Linked DNA regions of Arabidopsis thaliana. The protein of the gene in region 2 purifies or fractionates together with the protein of the main gene of each other region. This does not show direct contact. Each region holds a gene or a part of one and is shown on either strand. Other genes may lie near its edges. The genes, in order: AT3G20820, AT5G28590 and AT5G12940.

Region 1 (5,929 bases), on a different chromosome or scaffold from region 2:
ATTGTAACGTTCTCAACGCTCTTGTTAGTAGCTATCAATTTATTTATTTTGAATAACACTTGTTCCATTAGATTTAGCTTGGTTCAGTCACCAAAAAAAGTAATTAGCTAGAAGTTTCACTGTACAAGGAGAGTCAATTTAAACAATGACTCATATGGTTTGTTTTCTTGCATACCATTATGCATTTGGTTCTTTGTAATGTTTCTGTTAATTATAGAAAACAGATCCTATTCAAGTATGTTAAGAGTTTTTACAAGTAGTGAACAAAGTGTATTTCGAGTAGTACTGATTAAGACAAATACAAAAAGGAGGAATAAAAAATAAAAAAAGAAAGTGGACAAAACCTATAATTATAGTTTGGCATTTCTCAAAATTGACAATGGGTATTTTATACTAAAATCCATCAAGATAAATATTGGAAAAAATAAATAATTAATAGGACAAAAGAAGATTTGGATATTAGGAAGGTGATCACATGTTGTGTTCGACCAACCTTATTCCATAAGCAACAGAAGGCAGGGAGAGAGTTAAAGAACTTGTACAACTTTCTTCTTCTTCTTTAGTTCATGTTAAAAAAAAAATCATTTTGTTTTGATGATGTATGGCAGATTATTTATCGGAATATATAATCAAATAGGTTCAAACTTAATACATAATTTATACGTTGTACAAATGGTTTGTTTGAATCTCAACTTTACATACCACAAAGTATGAAAACAAGATTTGTGATGGACTCTAAACCATAAAAATCTATAGGGACCAACGTACGTAGGCCCAATTAGTTTGGACTCTAAAGCTGTATGAGCCCAAAACGTTTTGTAAGCAAGTATATAAATGTGTGTAATTAGAGACATAAGCAATGAATGCAGTGACATAAAGAGTAGACCCATGTAGTGAAGCAGCGACAGGTCCTGAGGTTAACACTCACCGCAAAATGCTTTACAGAGTCTCACATGCAATGCCTCTGCCCATTTATTTATTACCCCCACAACGCTTTCTTTTTAATGTTTCATTTAATTCTTCTTCATGTGATTGTGATTTGAATTTTTCCATATTATGTGTATTTGGCTCTAGAATAAATGTTCTTAAACAAACCCAACTAAATGCATTCCTAGTCTATAGTTATATGTATATCGTATAAAATATGTAAGAAAAAACAAAAAATAGTTTACTCGATACATTAAATACGAACATATCCGTAGGTATTTCCATGTATATCCTATGTTCGGATATATTCCCAATATTGACTCTTGTCACAGTAAACATAATTGATTATCAAATATGTTCGTGTGTTATAGAGAAAATTTAATCGTCTATAAAACAGTTTATAGTAATCGTATACGTACACATATAACATATTACAAAAAACCAAACAATTGAATTAAAAATGATAGCAATCGTGTGACGAATGAAACTGGAAGTTTATATATTTTGTTAATCATCCCATAATTCAACTAAACGTAGCATACAATTTTAAATCTTTTTTTTATAAAATGCATAACCATAAATATAATAATGTCTCTAATGAAAAAACTCAAATTACATATAAAAATCAATTTTTCAAGCAAGCTCTTAAAGGTTTACCACAAAGACAGTCGTTAAACATAAACGACGCCGCTTCAAGATGATCAAACGGTGAACCTACCGGAATCCTCCCACAGAGATGGTTATGGCTAAGATCCAAATGACCAATAAACGACGCACCTGAGATCGATCTCGGTATTGGTCCTTTCAGATTATTATACGACAAATCAAGAACTGTGAAGTAAGACCTTGGTCCAAACCCTTCAGGTATCTTCCCTTGTAGCAAGTTCCGGCTCAAATTCAGATTCATCACCGACGACGTCATCAGAGTTTGAGGTATCTCGCCGGAGATTTTGTTTCCGTCGAGGTTAAGTGTGGCTAGTACCGACATACGTCCTAGAGACGGTGGGATTGTACCGTAGAGTTGGTTACCGGAGAGATCCACGTCAGCTAACCGGTAGATATTGGTTAATGATTCTGGGATCCGACCGGTTATTCGGTTACCGGATAATAACGCACGGCTGAGCATTTTTAATCTTCCGACGTCCGACGGGATTACACCGGAGATTAAGTTGTTACGGAGATCTAAATGCATTAAGCTAGAGAGATTGGTTAATGATTTTGGAATTGAACCGGAGATTCGGTTATCGGCTACGTTTAAAACAGCTAACCGGTTTAATCTTCCGATGTCGTATGGAATCCCACCGGAGATTTGGTTTCCGATTAAGTCGAGTGTACGGAGAAAAGGAAGACGAGTGATACATTTAGGGATTTCGCCGGAGATACCTTTCCAATCGGCGATTGTAATGGCGGAGAGACGAGTGAGCTCACATATCGAGGCGGAGATGTGTCCGGTCATGTAACCGGTTCGGTGAGCTCGTTCGAAGATTGGATCTTCTGACTCGCCGCGGAGATTTATGTCGGCGACTCGGTGAGTGAGCGAGTCGCAGCTAATACCGTACCAGTTGTGGCAACAGTCTTGGCCTGTCCATGAGTTGAAAATGCCGAGGTAAGGCTCGTGAAGAGCTGATCGGAAAGCTAGAAGTGCACGGCGGTCTGACGGCGGACAACACGTGGCGGATGAGATTAGAAGGAGTAGGAGTAAAACGACGACGTTGAGATTCATTGTTTGAAGATTCTTTTTGAGTGACAGTGTTGGGAATTGGGACTTGATGGGTGAGGGAAGAAGATAGACGTTAATGGCATATAAATAGAGGATATTAAATAAAAGAGGGAATTTTTAAAAATATATTAATAAAAAAAGGACAATACTTTGCTTTATTTTTTTTTTTACGTGAAATTGTTAAAATAATAATTCGATATGGGTAAGATTAGACACTTTGGCCTCGTTCAATAATGAAGCTTGTGTTCGTGTAATCTTGATTAATCAAGAAATTCTACATCAAATTAGTCAACAACAAATGTCAAATTCATGTTAGATATCTTAAACACAAAAAAACGAGAACGTAAGAAATTGGTAATAACTTTTAACATGTGGGTTTGTTGTTTGAGTAACATGTGATTGTGTGGTTTGTAATAACTAGTTGTAGCAATAATATGGCCACAAAAATGAAGAAACATACACATGGATTTATAGTGTTGAGCACATTCATTAGATGGTAATAGAAAAGGTTGCAGACAAATTAAGATAGAGACAGGAACTGAAAGTGGGGGAGAGTTCCCATGCAAATAATTGAAGCTACGATTAGATTTTCCGATGCGACTTGCCGGTTGGATAAGCTTGTTGCTTACTACAATCATATCACAGGGTCAACATGACGCCACGTGGTTATGTTCTTGCATTTTAATCCTTTTTCTAATCATGTTATGAGATGACGATACACATCTTCGAGTCGCAAATAGTTGTGGTTCCGTAACTTATGTTGACTATGGGCCTGGTTTAAACGCAGCGGGTACGATTGCGGTTGCGGGAATTTGCGGAAACGGGCGGTTGCGGTTTCAAACGTTATCAAGTGTTTTGAACGACTGGTTGAGCGTTTGGTAATGAGTGCGTTTGCGGGAGTTTTATGACTGGTAAACCAGCGGGTGCGATAGTAATTAAATAAAAAATAACCAAAATAAATATAATATATTACTATTAAAAGAAAAAAAATACAATATATTATTATGATAAATTGATAATATTTGAAAAATTAAACATACTTAATAATTAAAACCATAAATAAAACTAAAAATTCAAAAATAAATAAATTTTGTAAGAAAAAGTTTAATACTTTATGCATTTGGTACATCACCAAAAATTGCATCAAGTAGTGTGATAAACTGTAAATAACGTTGAACTCGCGGGTTTTCCGGATTGCCTCTATACATATGATAAAGTTTCTTCAAGATATCCAAACGATTTTTAACACATCTCCAACTCAAATTTTTTCCAAACGTTAATATTCTTAAGAATATTTTCTTTTTGAACATCACTTAGAAATCTGATTTTGGGGTCTTTGGATTCTTCCGTTTATTTCTCCACAATAACCCGTTGAAGTAACGCAAATGTGGTCTCGTTTGACCAAATGATTTTCTAATCGAGAAAACAAATCAAAACATGTATTCAATCAAAAAACTCAAAAAAAAACAAAATAAAAAAAAACAACGATGCCATGAAATATTCCGAGAATTACACTAGCTAATGAATGGATGAAAGGATAGATCATACTTACGTTTGATTCTTGATTTTGACTTTGATTTTTGTCAGTTTGGGTGGATGCCATAATTGAGAGAATAGGGTTTCATTGATTAGGGTTTTCTGATAAGAATAAGTATAAGGTTTGGGTGGAAGACATAATTATTTTAATTAATTAATTAATTTTTTTTTAACCTAACCGCTACCGCCCGCAACCGCAAACGCTTGCGGGAAGGAGCTTTTGAAATCTGGTGATTTCAAGCGGTCCAAAGCGGTATCTAGCGGTTTCTATGATTGGTGCCAACCGCTAATAACCGCTACCACCCGCAAACGCTGCGTTTGCGGGTGGCAGAGGGAGAACCAATCAAGCCCTATATTAGCTTTTGATTCGGCTTCTAGTATCATGGCTTGGGCTAAGATTGGGCTTCAAAGCATATAGATAAATGGTTGTAAAAGCATTTACCGTTTATGATTTTTCACCGTCCGTGTCTCTAATTCAGCACCGACGGTTTCGTAATAAACGGCAGCCACATGAAACTACTGCTCACAGACAATAACTGTAAAACATGTTTTTGTCCTTAGCATTCCTAAAGGCGATTATGCGAGACATAGTAATGTCCAAAGTTTAATGCTAGTAGAGTTTTCAAAGTTTATAGGTGTTGGACTAGATCTTTTTTACCTGGAGGGGTACAATATGTCTTTTTTAAAACTATTTTCTCAAAGTTTTTGTATTTCGCATAAAATCTGTCGTCTACTATTTAATGTTACATCCCAAAGAACAAAAATCTTTGCGAGTTAAAAATCTCATCTTGGTGGATTTTGTTTCTTTAAACTTGATGGTTTTTTGGCTTGTCATGCGACAGCTCAGTTGCTGCGGGTATTACGTGTCAAGAAATTAATTATTGGTTTTGGCATGAGTATATTAATCACCCACGAACTCCAAAGCATTGGTTAGGTCGCAAGTTATATATAAAATGAATGATATCAACAAGATAAGTGCAATTACAATGACATAAGCCAACTAAAAGGAAGATACTAATTGAAGATTAGATTTTGATTAAACCATTTCTTACTTGAAACAAAGACAAACATTACCAATACCTAAAAAATGTCTGTACCAAGAGCTCTCAATTGTCTTTTACAACATAGACGTAAACCAAACAAACATCTTCATGCTCGGAGCAGTTGTTTTCTTCTCTACATAGTTTCTTCTTACATAAAGACACAACGTGAACTTAGAACCTGAAACAGAGATTAAAAATAAATCCATTCGCTACGAGCTAGAAGATTCTGCTTCATTGCTCCACCAGAAGCTAACCGAGAGACTCATTGTTAAGGACCTGACATAGTGCCACCATTTGGGAGGGATGTACAACATTTCACCTTCTTCTAGAATACAATCCATAAACTCCAACTCCATGGCCTTTGGGAACTCGGTTTCGTCGATATTGTCTAGATCAACCTTCAACCATAGTTTGAAACCACCCAGTTTTGGAACAGAAGAATCGAGTCAGCTTTCGGTTGTATGTTTAATCCAAAAAATGAGATTTGACTTCGGAATGAAAAAGCTTACCTGACTAGAGTTGCAGAGCATTGTCTCAGAGTAAGGGTAAAGTTCGTCTTGCAGGAAGGATGGGTAAAGCCTTATATACTTCTTGCCAACAACCTGAAGAACAGATGATATCAAAACTTCAGTAGAAGGAGAAAGCATCTAAGTAAAGAAGTTTCCGTAAACTAGAAACATATGAATTGCAGGCCAAACGATTT
Region 2 (6,840 bases):
GATCAGGAATCCTGTCTTCATCCCATATATCATCACCGCTGTCGTGGTCAGAACCGTCTTCATCAACTCTAAAAGCCTCATGAAAATCTTCTTCAATGTTAAGGTTTGCATCTTCTTCAAAAGCATCGTTAGCATCTTCTCCATCAGCATCGTTAGCATCTTCTCCATCAGCATCGTTAGCATCGTTAGCATCTTCCTCCACAGCATCGTTATCTCCACCACGTATTGCATCGTCAACACCATTGCAGTCATCATCACCATATACGGCACAGTCATCTTCGATATCTTGAGCAACTTCCAATTCAGGCTTTTCCTCATATTTTTCAACGACTCTTCTTCGTTTTCGACTCTGTCTAGAGACTCGACCTCCAAGAACATTGGGTTGAGCTAAACCTCCATCTTCTACAGACAGTGAGGCTACTACACTTCCATCTACCGCCGGTGGACCTCCAATTTCACATCTCGCTGGATCTTCAACTTCAGCTGCCGAATTAGAGACTCACATTGTTGTCCCAATCCTAGATACAACGCCTTTGTTTCGAACCAAAGGCATTTGTGAAAGATTTGTAATTACCAATTCGATTTAGGTTTCTGGGAATTAGGGATATCAAGTTTGAGAATTGGGGATTTTTTGTCGACTAATTTGAGTATAAGTGCCGATTAAGTCGAAAACGACGCAGTTTTGTCACTAACAAAGAGATGTTAACGGATCTAAACGGCTGTTAATGGGTCCGTTATCGGATTTAACGACGAGTATATTTAGGCCCGGTCAACAAAATTATGAAAGTCAACGCAAAGTTAATGTTTAAAACGATCTTATACGAAGTTGGTGTATAAAATGGCATTTTGGTAAAGTTCGGCAATTAAACGACATTTTCCCCGATTTAGATTAGAGGCATTCATGAGAAACATTGTGCTTTTAAGTGATATAGAGGAAAATGTTTGTTTGAGTATTTGTTACTAAAAGTATTTACAGGATAGAAAATAACGTATATATAGATGTTTTGGTTTTTCTTGAGAGATTTAAAGACCACTTTAGTCTAGTAAACAACATTACAATCAACGTAGTCTGTTGTAGTAGAGAGTTTGCCTTCTTTCATATATATATGATTGTCCATATTTCTAAATTTTCAATTCGTTTGAGAAAAAAAAAAATACAATTAACCAAAAAAAGAAAAACTGATTATATGAAGAAAAAGAACAAAAAAAAAAGGATGAAAACAAAGAGAATCCAGAAAAAGAAAGTGAAGTTATTATAATTTTACACTGAACCAAGAACAAAAGCATCACTGTCTTCTTTACTTTTCTTTCTCTGCCTTTGCAATGAAAAATTCCTTTAGACATTATATGATGATACGTCCACTCTCACCCTGACTCAGGCTCAACCTCAGTTTTGATCTAAAACCCTACACACGTCTCTTCGTCTCTTCGGAAACTTGAATCTGTAACTAATCTTTGCCATTTACTCATAATCTCCATTTTCTGATTACCCATTTCCTCTCAGTCCTACACAACATAACATCCATAAGGCCACCATTACAGTCCAAACAACAAACAATAAGAATCTTATTAAGGCTTGTGATATTATCAGTCTCACTAAATATTCGAGAACACACCGGAAACCCCAAAAGATACAAACGAGTAAGTGGTTAGCTACTTTTACCTGACAAATCATACCCAGTACCGCCCCATTCAGAAGGTCGGGCATGTGTCATGTGCATGCCCTGAGGTGGTTTCATCATGAAATGAGCTCCACCACCCAATGCACTACTAGTAATAGTATGATGCTCATCGTTTGGATTTCTTCCGGAAGATTCCATATCGGGATGGTAGCCCAACAAAGATTCTGTACCAGAAGGAGAAGGTAACATGTTTCTACTTCCCGAAGCATCATCTCCTTTCGCACCATTTCTTCCATCCTTCTTTTTCTCTAGCTGAAACGTGCCAAGAACCACCTGTACGGGAAACCAAAGCCAAGAGCAGAGAGACTATCCCTATCAAACTTGGCAAATAATCAAGGAATTCCATTTTCTAGATTTAGGTGAGTTTGTGCACACATGTAAATTAAACTATAAGACAAGAGGAAAGATACCTGGACTGGACCAGCAGCCTTTAGGAGTCCCCCAACTCCTCCACCAAAGATCTGACCATCTGAATTAGATAAACAAACGCTAAGGCCACCAGTTTTACCCCCGTGCTCGCACCGAATATAGATCCACTCAGTAAGATAATTTCATACTGACCCTGAATAAAAGTTCGTAATTCTGAAGCAAGTTGATGATCGTATGCAATTATCAAGCATGTATGTCAGAAGTCAATAAAATTCTTTAGCTGTAACCGAAGTTTAATTGTAACAAACAGTTCCCAAAAGAAACCAATTTCTTTAACAGAGAATCAATTCAAGAAAGCCATTTTTTACAAAGTCAGTTCAAGAACTAGTTTAGAGGGACTAGATAGTAACAAGAGAATCTCATAAGATACACTGGTTCCTGATGCAAGGTGAGACAAGGATGCATTAGAGATGGAGCCAGATGCAGAAAGAACACATAACTGATGCTTGCTTTGCTGAGTGAAAAGAACAATCTTCTCCGCCACATCCTATCAAATTAATCCGCAAAACACATAAGAAGACAACAAAATCAAATGCATTATGAATACATTCACAGTTTTAACCAAATCATAATCTCAAAAGAAGGCCTTTAGAATAGTATGAAAGAAAAATACTCACCTCACCAGGAGTTATATTAACAATGTGTGGAGTAAAACATTGCCCAGTTTTCCTTGGAAAAAAAAAATGTTTATGTGAAGCTCACAAAATGACAACAGCAAGACGAGTACAATGTTGATCAGTTGATCTTATAACCTAATTGAATCTTTAACATGAACTCAGCTGCCACAAGTTTTACAAAACAAATCAATCAGCACTAGAAACAAGAATCTACGCATTCTTCAATGTGTTCAAAACAAAGTTTCTACTCCAATACATTACGCATTTGTAAGCACAGATAATGTCTATAGAAACTCAAATACTATGAAAGTTACATAGAAAGACCAAAGATTGAAACTTAACACAATTCACATAGAACTCAAACAGCAAGAAAGAGTACAATGGTGATCAAATGAGCTTTAACATGAACTCAGCTGCCACAAGTTTTAACAAACCAAATCAATCAGCAAAATGAAGCAACACTAGACACACGAATCTACGCATTCTTCAATGTGTTTAAAACAAACTTTCTACTCAAATTACACATTTATAAACACATATGAGTGTCTCTAGAAACTCAAATACTATGAAAGTTACATAGAAAGATCAAAGATTGAAACTTTAATACAATTCACATAGAACTCAAACAATTTACGATTCACATAGTTTATTAATTGAATCTAGAACATGAATTCATTAAACTATTGGTACTACTGCCACAAGTTTTAAACAAAACAAAGACCATAAATCAGCAAAATGAAGCAATACTAGAAACATTCTTCAATGTGTTCAAAACAAAGTTTCTGCTCCAATAGATTACACATTTGTAAGCACAAAGAGTGTCTATAGAAACTCAAATACTATGAAAGTTACATCAAAAGATCAAAGATTGAAATTCATTTTTTTTTTCTGATCTCTTTTTGTTTCTCGATTTATTTTAAGGATTTGGAAATAAATTTAGTGTTATGATTTGAGCAATGTTCACGAAAGCGCGACGCTGAATCGGATCGTAGGCGATTTTAGGCGGTTAAGCCGTTTATAATACATTGGAGCCATTCTTCCCATCTACTCGACCCCCTGCTCGAGTAACAGCATCTAAGCCACTCGATGACTCCACTCGACCCGCTGGTCGAGTATCACTATGCCACGCCACCTGACCACCACTCGGCCATTCACTCTACCACGTTACTCGACCCCTTGACCGAGTATATCCTTCACCAATCATCACCATCACTCGATCAAGCACTAGACCACATCTTCAGAGTTGACTCAAATCCGCACTTAACCAGACAAGCTGAGAACAAGGAAGAGAAGTGGAGAAGAAGAAGTGTATGGAAACGGCCTGGAGCTCCATCAGATCAAAAAGCCCATCTCGGTCCATTATCACTCTATGGGCCGAGCGATTAGGTTACTAGCCCGTCTACTATCATTTTATTTTGTTTTGTATAAATAGGTGTCCGAGGGTTTTGTCCTGGTACATCTAGTCGACATTGAGTTTTTGCTTCAGTTTTATTTTCTGTTTTACTCTGGCTGCGCCGCTTTTGCTTCTGCAACCTGTAATTCGAGATTTTTCCAAGTTATTCAGATTTCGCATTTGATTTCATCTATCATCTTGTTTCTCTACTCTTTATCTCTTTACTTATGCAATATCATCATTTATCTGCGTTTATGTCTTTGAGCATGTTGTCTGAGTAGTGACATAAAGTTCTTAAGGATGGGATAGAATAGTTGTGGAATCCTTAGTCTGTAGAATGGTTAAGTTTTAGAATTGATTGAATCCCTTCACGACTAGTTGTGTTTACTGCTTATTTCTTTCTAATCAACTGAAATTCCATCTAAAGCATTCCCGCACCCAGAAGGTGTTTGATGGAATGCTTGATCCACTAGTTCATGAGATATTCGTCTTTATCCCAAGGGATTGGCCGTATAGAGCGTTTATTGACTTTATCAGTCTGTTCTTATTGCCTGCATAGTTAGATTCCGTTAATGGGAATTAGTTTGGGCTAGCTTTGCTTGAGGATTTCTATCACGGGATTGAATTGATTTGTTGTTGAACATGTTGTCTAGGGATAGCTTGATTGCGCTTGTTAACTGATATAACCCGATTTTCACTGATTTTATCTATGTTTTAGGTATAGGATTTTGAGTCTTTATGTTATTTCTCGACACCAGTTTCGGCCCAGCAAAAGTCCTAGACGCTTTCGAGTTTACAGAAGAGGAAATTTACCCCAGAAGACTTCCCTATTTGCATTATTAGTCCCTGGACGTTTTTAGGGTCTATATATATTGTTTCTAGCCCTAGTTTTCATTATCAAGTCTTTCATCCAGTTTTCATTATCAAGTTTTCTACAAAACCCTGTTACTGAGAGACATAAGCTAATCATCGATTGTTTTCAGAGTTTCATTCAGATCATTAATACAGTGAAGAGATCCCTTCTTTCCCCTTCTCTATTTACTATGTTTATGCTTTCACACTCAAATATGTTGTTTGCTTCATCCAATATGTCTGAGTAATCTGCTTGTTAGGAATAGGGTTTCTCATTAGGGATTCATATGGTTTAGTAGATTGTTCCCTTTGCTAGGTTATCTATAGAATTCTTCATCTTTAATTATGTTTAATGCTAGATTTAGAATAATTAACTAGATCTTGAATCCAGACAATAGATATGCCCGCCATAGGTATCTGTAGTTGGATCTATTATTTGATGAGTCTGGTTTATAGGTGTATAATAAGAATCGGCCTATCTACTAAGATGAACAATTGAACTCGTTAAGAATGCATATTTAGGTTGATAGTTTCTCGGCTTCTCCGGTTATTATAAGCTATAGACATAGGGAGTTCTGCGGCACGCCCACCGATTATTCCATAATTAGAGTTTGAGTTTAAGAATGGTTCGATAACAACCTAGCTTTCGTTAGATCCACTAACCTACCTTTCGTTAGATCTTTTCCTAATCGTTTACAACCCAATCATCCTGTTGTTTTCTTGGTTAGTTTACTTACTATTTCACTTATACCCTACTAGCTTTATCTTGACATTTAACTCATTGTTTGAACAAAAGAACTCCGTGAATTTGATCTTAAAATACTGCAATTGATCTCTTATTTGAGAGAGTAGTTTTAGGTAATTTGAACCATATCAAATTTCCCCCCGTTGCCGAAGTTCTTGGGAATCATCATTGAGTTTTGTTTAGAGATTTCGTATAGTTTTTACTTCTATTTTGTTACTTACGCGTTTCTTGTTTTCTTCTTTTCCGTGTTTCAGGTGTATGCCTAGGCAAACAAGGAGCACAAAAAAGAAGGAGCTTAGCAACTTATCTGTTCTGGACTTGGGAAAACTTGAATGCACCAACCGAAAAACTCAGAAATTAGCAATTGTTGACAGAGTCATCAGAGCTGATATAGAACGAGTTTTGAGAGATGAGGATGGGCAAGCCTACAATGAGGCTGGTCAGAGATTGGATGATCATGGACTCATCATACCTGAGGACGCCAATGAGGATCAAGCGCGCCACAATGCACAATTAGCTGCTAGAGATGCAGCAGGGCTCGGTGTCGATCGACACCTTCGGGAGCAGAACGCGGATGCAATCGGTATTGAATGACACAACAGAGGTGTCGATCGACACCAACACCAGATTCCTGCAGCTATTCCTCCAGCAGCGGAACCACGTCGTACTCTTGGGGATTTCAACAGGCCAGACCTGTTCTATGCTAATCGATCAGCAATTGTACCCCCACCATTCCAGAGGAACGACTATGAGCTGAAGCCTGGCTACTTTGCTTTAGTTGGCCAACATCCTTTCCATGGCTTATCTCATGAGCAGCCAATGGATCATATCGAGCGATTTGAGGACCTTGTTCTAAGTATCAAGGCTAATGGAGTCTTAGAGGACTACCTACTGTGCAAGCTCTTCCATTATTCACTTACTGGGGAAGCAGCTTCTTGGCTGAAACAACTTAAAGTAGGTTCCCTCAAGACTTGGAGAAGCATCAATATAGCCTTCTTGAACAATTTCTACGATGGTGCTAAGTATGAGGAGTTGAGAAACAAGCTGTCTACCTTCACACAAGGTCCAACTGAAGCTTTCAAGGCTGCTTAGGTTCGTTTCAAGGAGTACCAACGAGATTGC
Region 3 (5,795 bases), 6.5 Mb from region 2:
ACTCCTTCTAGAAATTAGAGGTGAATCAAATATCTAAGATCTGAAAACCCATCTAGAATTTAATGTCTTTAGACTTTATGGATTTAGATACGGATACCTTAATTTTAAAACTAAGATATTTGGATCCGATCTTAGATCCGTTTTAAAAATACATGTACCATAAATACAATGTTCCTAAAAAGATCTGGTATCTGTGGGAGAAATAAAAAATGAATGATATTATAAAAAATAAACCTACTGAATACCTATATAAAAAAAAAAAACATTTTAGCAACGTTGTAGTGAGAAAACGTAAATACTATGTTGTTGTGCCTTATTGGATTGCTACAAAGGCAGTAACCTTGTTCAGTTGATAAGCTATGTAGAATATACTGTATAGGACTAAGGTTTTGTGTGTCAATGCATATGTATATAACTCAACTCTAGTTGGTGTCGAAGAATTGATTTTATTTAAACTCATACTAATAGTTCAAAAGTATGTCAAAAGTATATCTTTATCCATTCCAATGCTTCGAGTTGGTGAGACTAATCTTGCTAAGAAACTTATTGCACATATATAGTGGAAGGGGGATTAGTTAGTAAGACCAAGACCGAGCAAGTCTCTAATTGTAAGACCATATATATATATATTTTTTATCTTTTCAACGATATGGTAGTTAAATACATTTACCCTACAATAATTGGAATACTTAATAGTTAATCGATGAGTTTTATGAAATTATTGTAGAACATAGAAAGCTCATACAAGAATACTTTGAGAGAAAGTCTTCCTCAACACTTAAGAAACAGGCTTTTGTAAGCATATGTCAATACGTTTGTCTAAAACCAGTTACGTTGAAACAATTATTACTAGAAATTTTACAATCAGCATGGACCATTAATATTTTTAACTAATAGGATGCTTCAAAGCATACTTTGCACACAAACTTGTTATGGAATTCTCTCATGTACGGTATTCCTGTTAATAATAAAAGTGACTTAGAAGCATCACATACTTGTTGTGCAATTCTCTCCCGCACGGTATTCACGTGTTCTTTGTGTCGTATCTTGTTGTTCTTCTAAAAAAACTATGTCTACTATATAGTTGTGATGATCTTTACCGGGCAAGCTAGCCATTATTACTTATAACAGAATCTAGATCAATATACCATTAATGAATAAATTTATGTAATCTAGCTAGTAGTGACTATTGTGTTTTGTGCTATAGAGTAATCTATCAGAAACTTTGTCAATATTCTTACTTTATCTTTGAAATATGAAATGTGTGTTCAATAACGGATCAAAGAGATCATCACAAAGAAAATGTAGTTTGACTAATTCCATCGCAAAATTTATAGTTCATTGCACATCCTTTGGAGGCTATGATCAGCAACGCGGTCATCACAGAATTGCTTAAAGGTGTGAGATATTTTTACGTCAATATTGATTTACGACTAATTAAAACTCAGTTGAAAAACTTGTGGAGTTATGGCAATATTTATATCTTCCGTTCTTCCAAAAGACGACTACTTATGCATGGTGCACCACCGACATTGGATACAAGCCCACCAAACCAATTTGGCCTATACGGTCCACTTAAATATGTTTTGTTAAGTAGACCACCTAATTGGACATATAGACCTGGCGTCACAAAGAAAATGGACATAGACACAAATTCTGGTTTAACATTACAACAGAAAAATGTACTAACTGAAATTTGAATGAAACCAATCTCTAAGTGAAACACACCAAAACAAGAGATACAAGAAAAAAACGTATCTTAAAAGTGTTACACACTTACACTTCTAACCAAACTGTTTTGAATTGTATGTAAGGAGACGAATTTAATATGCATACCATAGTCCATATTTGTAAAGTCTAGTCAGAACAAATGGTTGAATGTATCCCGGGCTTTACTGATCTCACAAGCGTGGTCGGTCCACATTTCTAAACTCGTATTTGAAAAGTTTATCCTATTAGCTCATTTCATTTGGTTCGAGGTGTCTCATTGATGATAGTTTGAGAATCAATCAAGACAGATAAACAAGAAGACTTAAACACCAGATAAAAATATTGCTTATAGTTACATTGATAACGTGAAAATTATAGTAATAATATTCATAATCAAACTATATAATGATTCCCTCAAATCTTTAAACAATAATTTAATTAATTATTTCTTACAATTCCCAAGAGGCTTTCCACAAAGACAAGCATTGTAAGCAAACGACGTCGCGTCAAGATGATCAAACGGAGATCCCATCGGAATCTTCCCACACAAATGGTTATGGCTCACGTCAAGGTGACCAATAAACGACGCCGCCGTGATACTCGCCGGAATCGGTCCCTGAAGACGATTGTTCGCAAGATCCAGCACCGTGAAGTACGATCTCGGTCCAAACGTGTTAGGTATACTTCCGGTTATAAGATTCCCGCTCAGATTCAAATTCGAGATCGATGATGCCAATAGACTCCCCGGAATCATACCGGAGATCAAGTTCCCATCGAGATTGAGAGTCGCGAGCACCGACATTTTACCGAACGAAGCCGGAATCGGACCGGTGAGTCGGTTCATCGAGAGCTCAAGATCCGCGAGCCGGTATATCCGGGTCAGAGAATCGGGTATTTGACCCGAGATTTTGTTACCGCTTAAAAGGACACGACTCACCATCTTTAAACGACCAATATCTCGCGGTATGACTCCCGAGATATTGTTATTCCTGAGATCCAAATGCGATAAACTCACTAATCTCGTGATCGACGGAGGAATCACACCGTATAAGTGATTATCAGCTAGATTCAACACTTTAAGCCTCAGTAACTTCCCGATATTCGCCGGAATCACGCCGGAGAATTTATTTCCGACGAGATCTAAATGTCTCAAGAAAGGGAGATTCTCAATGCAACTAGGAATCACACCGGAGATTCCCTTCCAATCAGCGATGATGATACCGGAGAGACGAGTGAGCTTACATATAGAGGGCGAAATGGAGCCGGTCATTAGTCCGCTCCGTTTCGCCTTTTGGAAAAGCGGGTCTTCGGATTCACCTCGGAGTGTAATGCCGGCGACTCGACGGGTGTTGGGATCGCAGCTCACACCATACCAGCCTTTGCAACAGTCTAGACCTTTCCATGTGTTGAAAACTCCAATGTAGGGCTCGTTGAGCTTTGCTCGGAACTCTAGAAGCGCCGCTCGGTCGGACGGTAAGCAAGAATGGACAGTCGTGGAGAGAAGCAAGAAGACGACGACGTTAGTCAATAGGATCACTAACGATTTCTTAGTATCCATAGTGTAGAGAATCTTTTGTGTGATGTGTTTTTTTTTTAGCTTTACATAGGTTGAAGCACGTTGACATGGAAGTGTGACTTAACTATATGGTTTTATTTATAGTCACATATTGATGGGAGTAAAGACGACGAAATACTTCTTTTTGTTGCTTCGTTGAACCTTCTCATTTTTTGCCACGTCGTCACATACTTTGCATGCTCATTTGTTTCATTATTATCAGACTTTTCTTTGTGTGTGGTCAAGATTGGATCATTATGATTCATTACAAATAACATGGTTTTGTTTGTCTCGGTCGCCTGGTTGTACTATCTATGTCACAACTCAGAAGGCCTGAGCATGTTCTTGGTTCGACTCTCCCGAGTCTCTCCATACGTACTGGAATATAAGAATTACAGATTTGGCTATATGAGACCATAATATTTGAAAAATGAGATTAAAGTAACAATCGTGGCAAGACATATATTAGTATTAGTTCTTTTTTCTTGTCTACATTGAATTTTTTGGACATAATAATGAGGGACAACATTCAAGTGGCTTAAGCTACAGCAATTAGTATTATCCTAGCTAGTTTCATATCTTGTCCATAATACTGTACTTTTTGACTAGACTAGTTCCTACTAGTTTTTATTTATGTATAGATGCATGATTTATTAATATACTGTCAAATTCATTGATCTTATCGTTGTAGATGAGCATGTGATCTTTGTCCTTGGTAGCAATTTGTACATAAATAATATGAACCCCCATGTAAAGATGTTTATTTTTTCGACCTTCTTGTTCAACCTTCGAGTCAATGAATAATAAAAAAATTGTTTTGTTAATTTTTTCTACAGTATGACACAATCCTAATCATTGTTTGCAAATTGCCTCCATGAACCATAATTTACCTTTGATTGGCATTTTCTGCTACGGTTTTGATTATTATGTGCTTGTTTTCGTTGCTGTCTAGTGACATAAAATCTGACGAGCAACGACTCAAATTTTTTATTTTTTTTTGATAAAGAACAACGACTCAAATATGTAAGGTTTTATTTTGTCTTGTTCATTTTATCGTCCATAGACCAGCGGAAGATTAAACTGTTCGTTTGTTTTCGTCAAACAGAAACGCTAATAGATTCAACCTTTAGTGAAATTATGTTTGTAGACGTTGAAAATCAACTTCTTAATTCAACAACGTAGTTTAGCGTATTTAGTTATTTCCCTTGAGATATATCTTAAAATTCATGGTCGGCCCTAAAAACAGGACAGGTTTGGAGACAGCAGCTAGAGTAAACGTGATTCGGAGATTTAGTAGTTGTTATAATTGTATCAAGAGATTTAGAAGGAAGTGTCAAGTCAGAAGGGTGACATTAATGGCTTTGATTATTCAAAAGACAACTCATGTGCCCGCGCATGTGCTTGACGTTCGTTTGCCGTGTATTAGAACTTTAAAAACTGATTCATATAAATCATCGGTCGATTGAAATATATTAACATGGATTATGATGACAACAATCATTATACAATTAAGTTTTATGAAATGATCATCCACAAAACATAACTTTTGTCGGCTATTTTTTTGTTGACGTGACAAACTAAATTAGTAAACTGTGTTTTGAGTGCAAAAAGATGAGAAATTTGTGGGATTGATTGCATAGAATAACACTTACAAAAATGTAGGTAGTATGCAGGGGAGTCAACAACAGACGACTTTTCATAATTCAGAAAACGAAGAAAAACAAAAAGAAAGGTCGATTTCCCAAGGACTAGGGCATAGCACGTGTCTATATCACTGGAGGATATATCACTTAGACCGTTAGACGTCACGTGTAATCGTGTATTAATGCTTGCAAAATGTGGTTCAATCAAATACCCAATTAAGGGTTATGAGAACTAATACAAAAATGTGGTTCCCGTAAATAATGCATGAGCAAGCACATGACTGACATGAGAGATAGACCAGCGAATAAAGGTTAAGTATTGACGCACCATGCAAAGCGTAACGGTGAACTGGAGCTCTACTGGCTGAGATAATTCACAAGGTGAAGGTGAGATATATTTTAGGAGAGCCAGAAAGGTAGAACCCAAGACAAATAAAGAGAGAGACCAAGTGAGTTTTGGACTAATGTTTTTCAAAGAATGTGTCTATAACTATTTATTAAGTTCCAAAAAAAGACAAATAAAAGTATGATTTTTCTATATAGGACTACTCGATTAATCTTAACAAAAAGACGAATAAGCAGAAAACATATATGTTTGTTTTTTCAAAACAATAACCTTGGAAATCAAAACACCAGAAAAATGTGGCTGTGAAGAAAAGTACAAGAGAGACAGTAAAAAGAAAATGAACCAAAAAGGCAAAAAAATGAATACGTGGCTTCAATGTAGACCCAGACGATGAACGTCGCATCACCTTCCTTACGGGGGAAATCTCACATTTTGAAATTACAGAAAACTCCAAAGAACCCAAAATTGAATATTGAATATTGAAAATTGAAAAAATCTCTCTTTGAAGAATTGAAATCTCTCTTTGAAGACGAACGAACCT

Evidence for each region.
Region 1: the proteins of AT5G28590 (region 2) and AT3G20820 fractionate together in Arabidopsis thaliana (co-fractionation; one large-scale study listed by BioGRID). This does not show direct contact.
Region 3: the proteins of AT5G28590 (region 2) and AT5G12940 fractionate together in Arabidopsis thaliana (co-fractionation; one large-scale study listed by BioGRID). This does not show direct contact.

Annotation. Positions count from the first base shown.
Region 1 is NC_003074.8:7,277,651-7,283,579, reverse strand, and holds AT3G20820 (Leucine-rich repeat (LRR) family protein), read right to left. Parts: upstream 2,789-5,929; 5' UTR 2,651-2,788; coding exon 1,553-2,650; 3' UTR 1,203-1,552; downstream 1-1,202. Other genes in the region: JMJD5 (2-oxoglutarate (2OG) and Fe(II)-dependent oxygenase superfamily protein), read right to left, coding at 5,436-5,624, 5,736-5,828.
Region 2 is NC_003076.8:10,577,797-10,584,636, forward strand, and holds AT5G28590 (DNA-binding family protein), read right to left. Parts: upstream 3,764-6,840; coding exon 3,693-3,763; intron 2,781-3,692; coding exon 2,729-2,780; intron 2,599-2,728; coding exon 2,482-2,598; intron 2,198-2,481; coding exon 2,093-2,197; intron 1,956-2,092; coding exon 1,650-1,955; downstream 1-1,649.
Region 3 is NC_003076.8:4,085,255-4,091,049, reverse strand, and holds AT5G12940 (Leucine-rich repeat (LRR) family protein), read right to left. Parts: upstream 3,362-5,795; 5' UTR 3,269-3,361; coding exon 2,153-3,268; 3' UTR 1,904-2,152; downstream 1-1,903.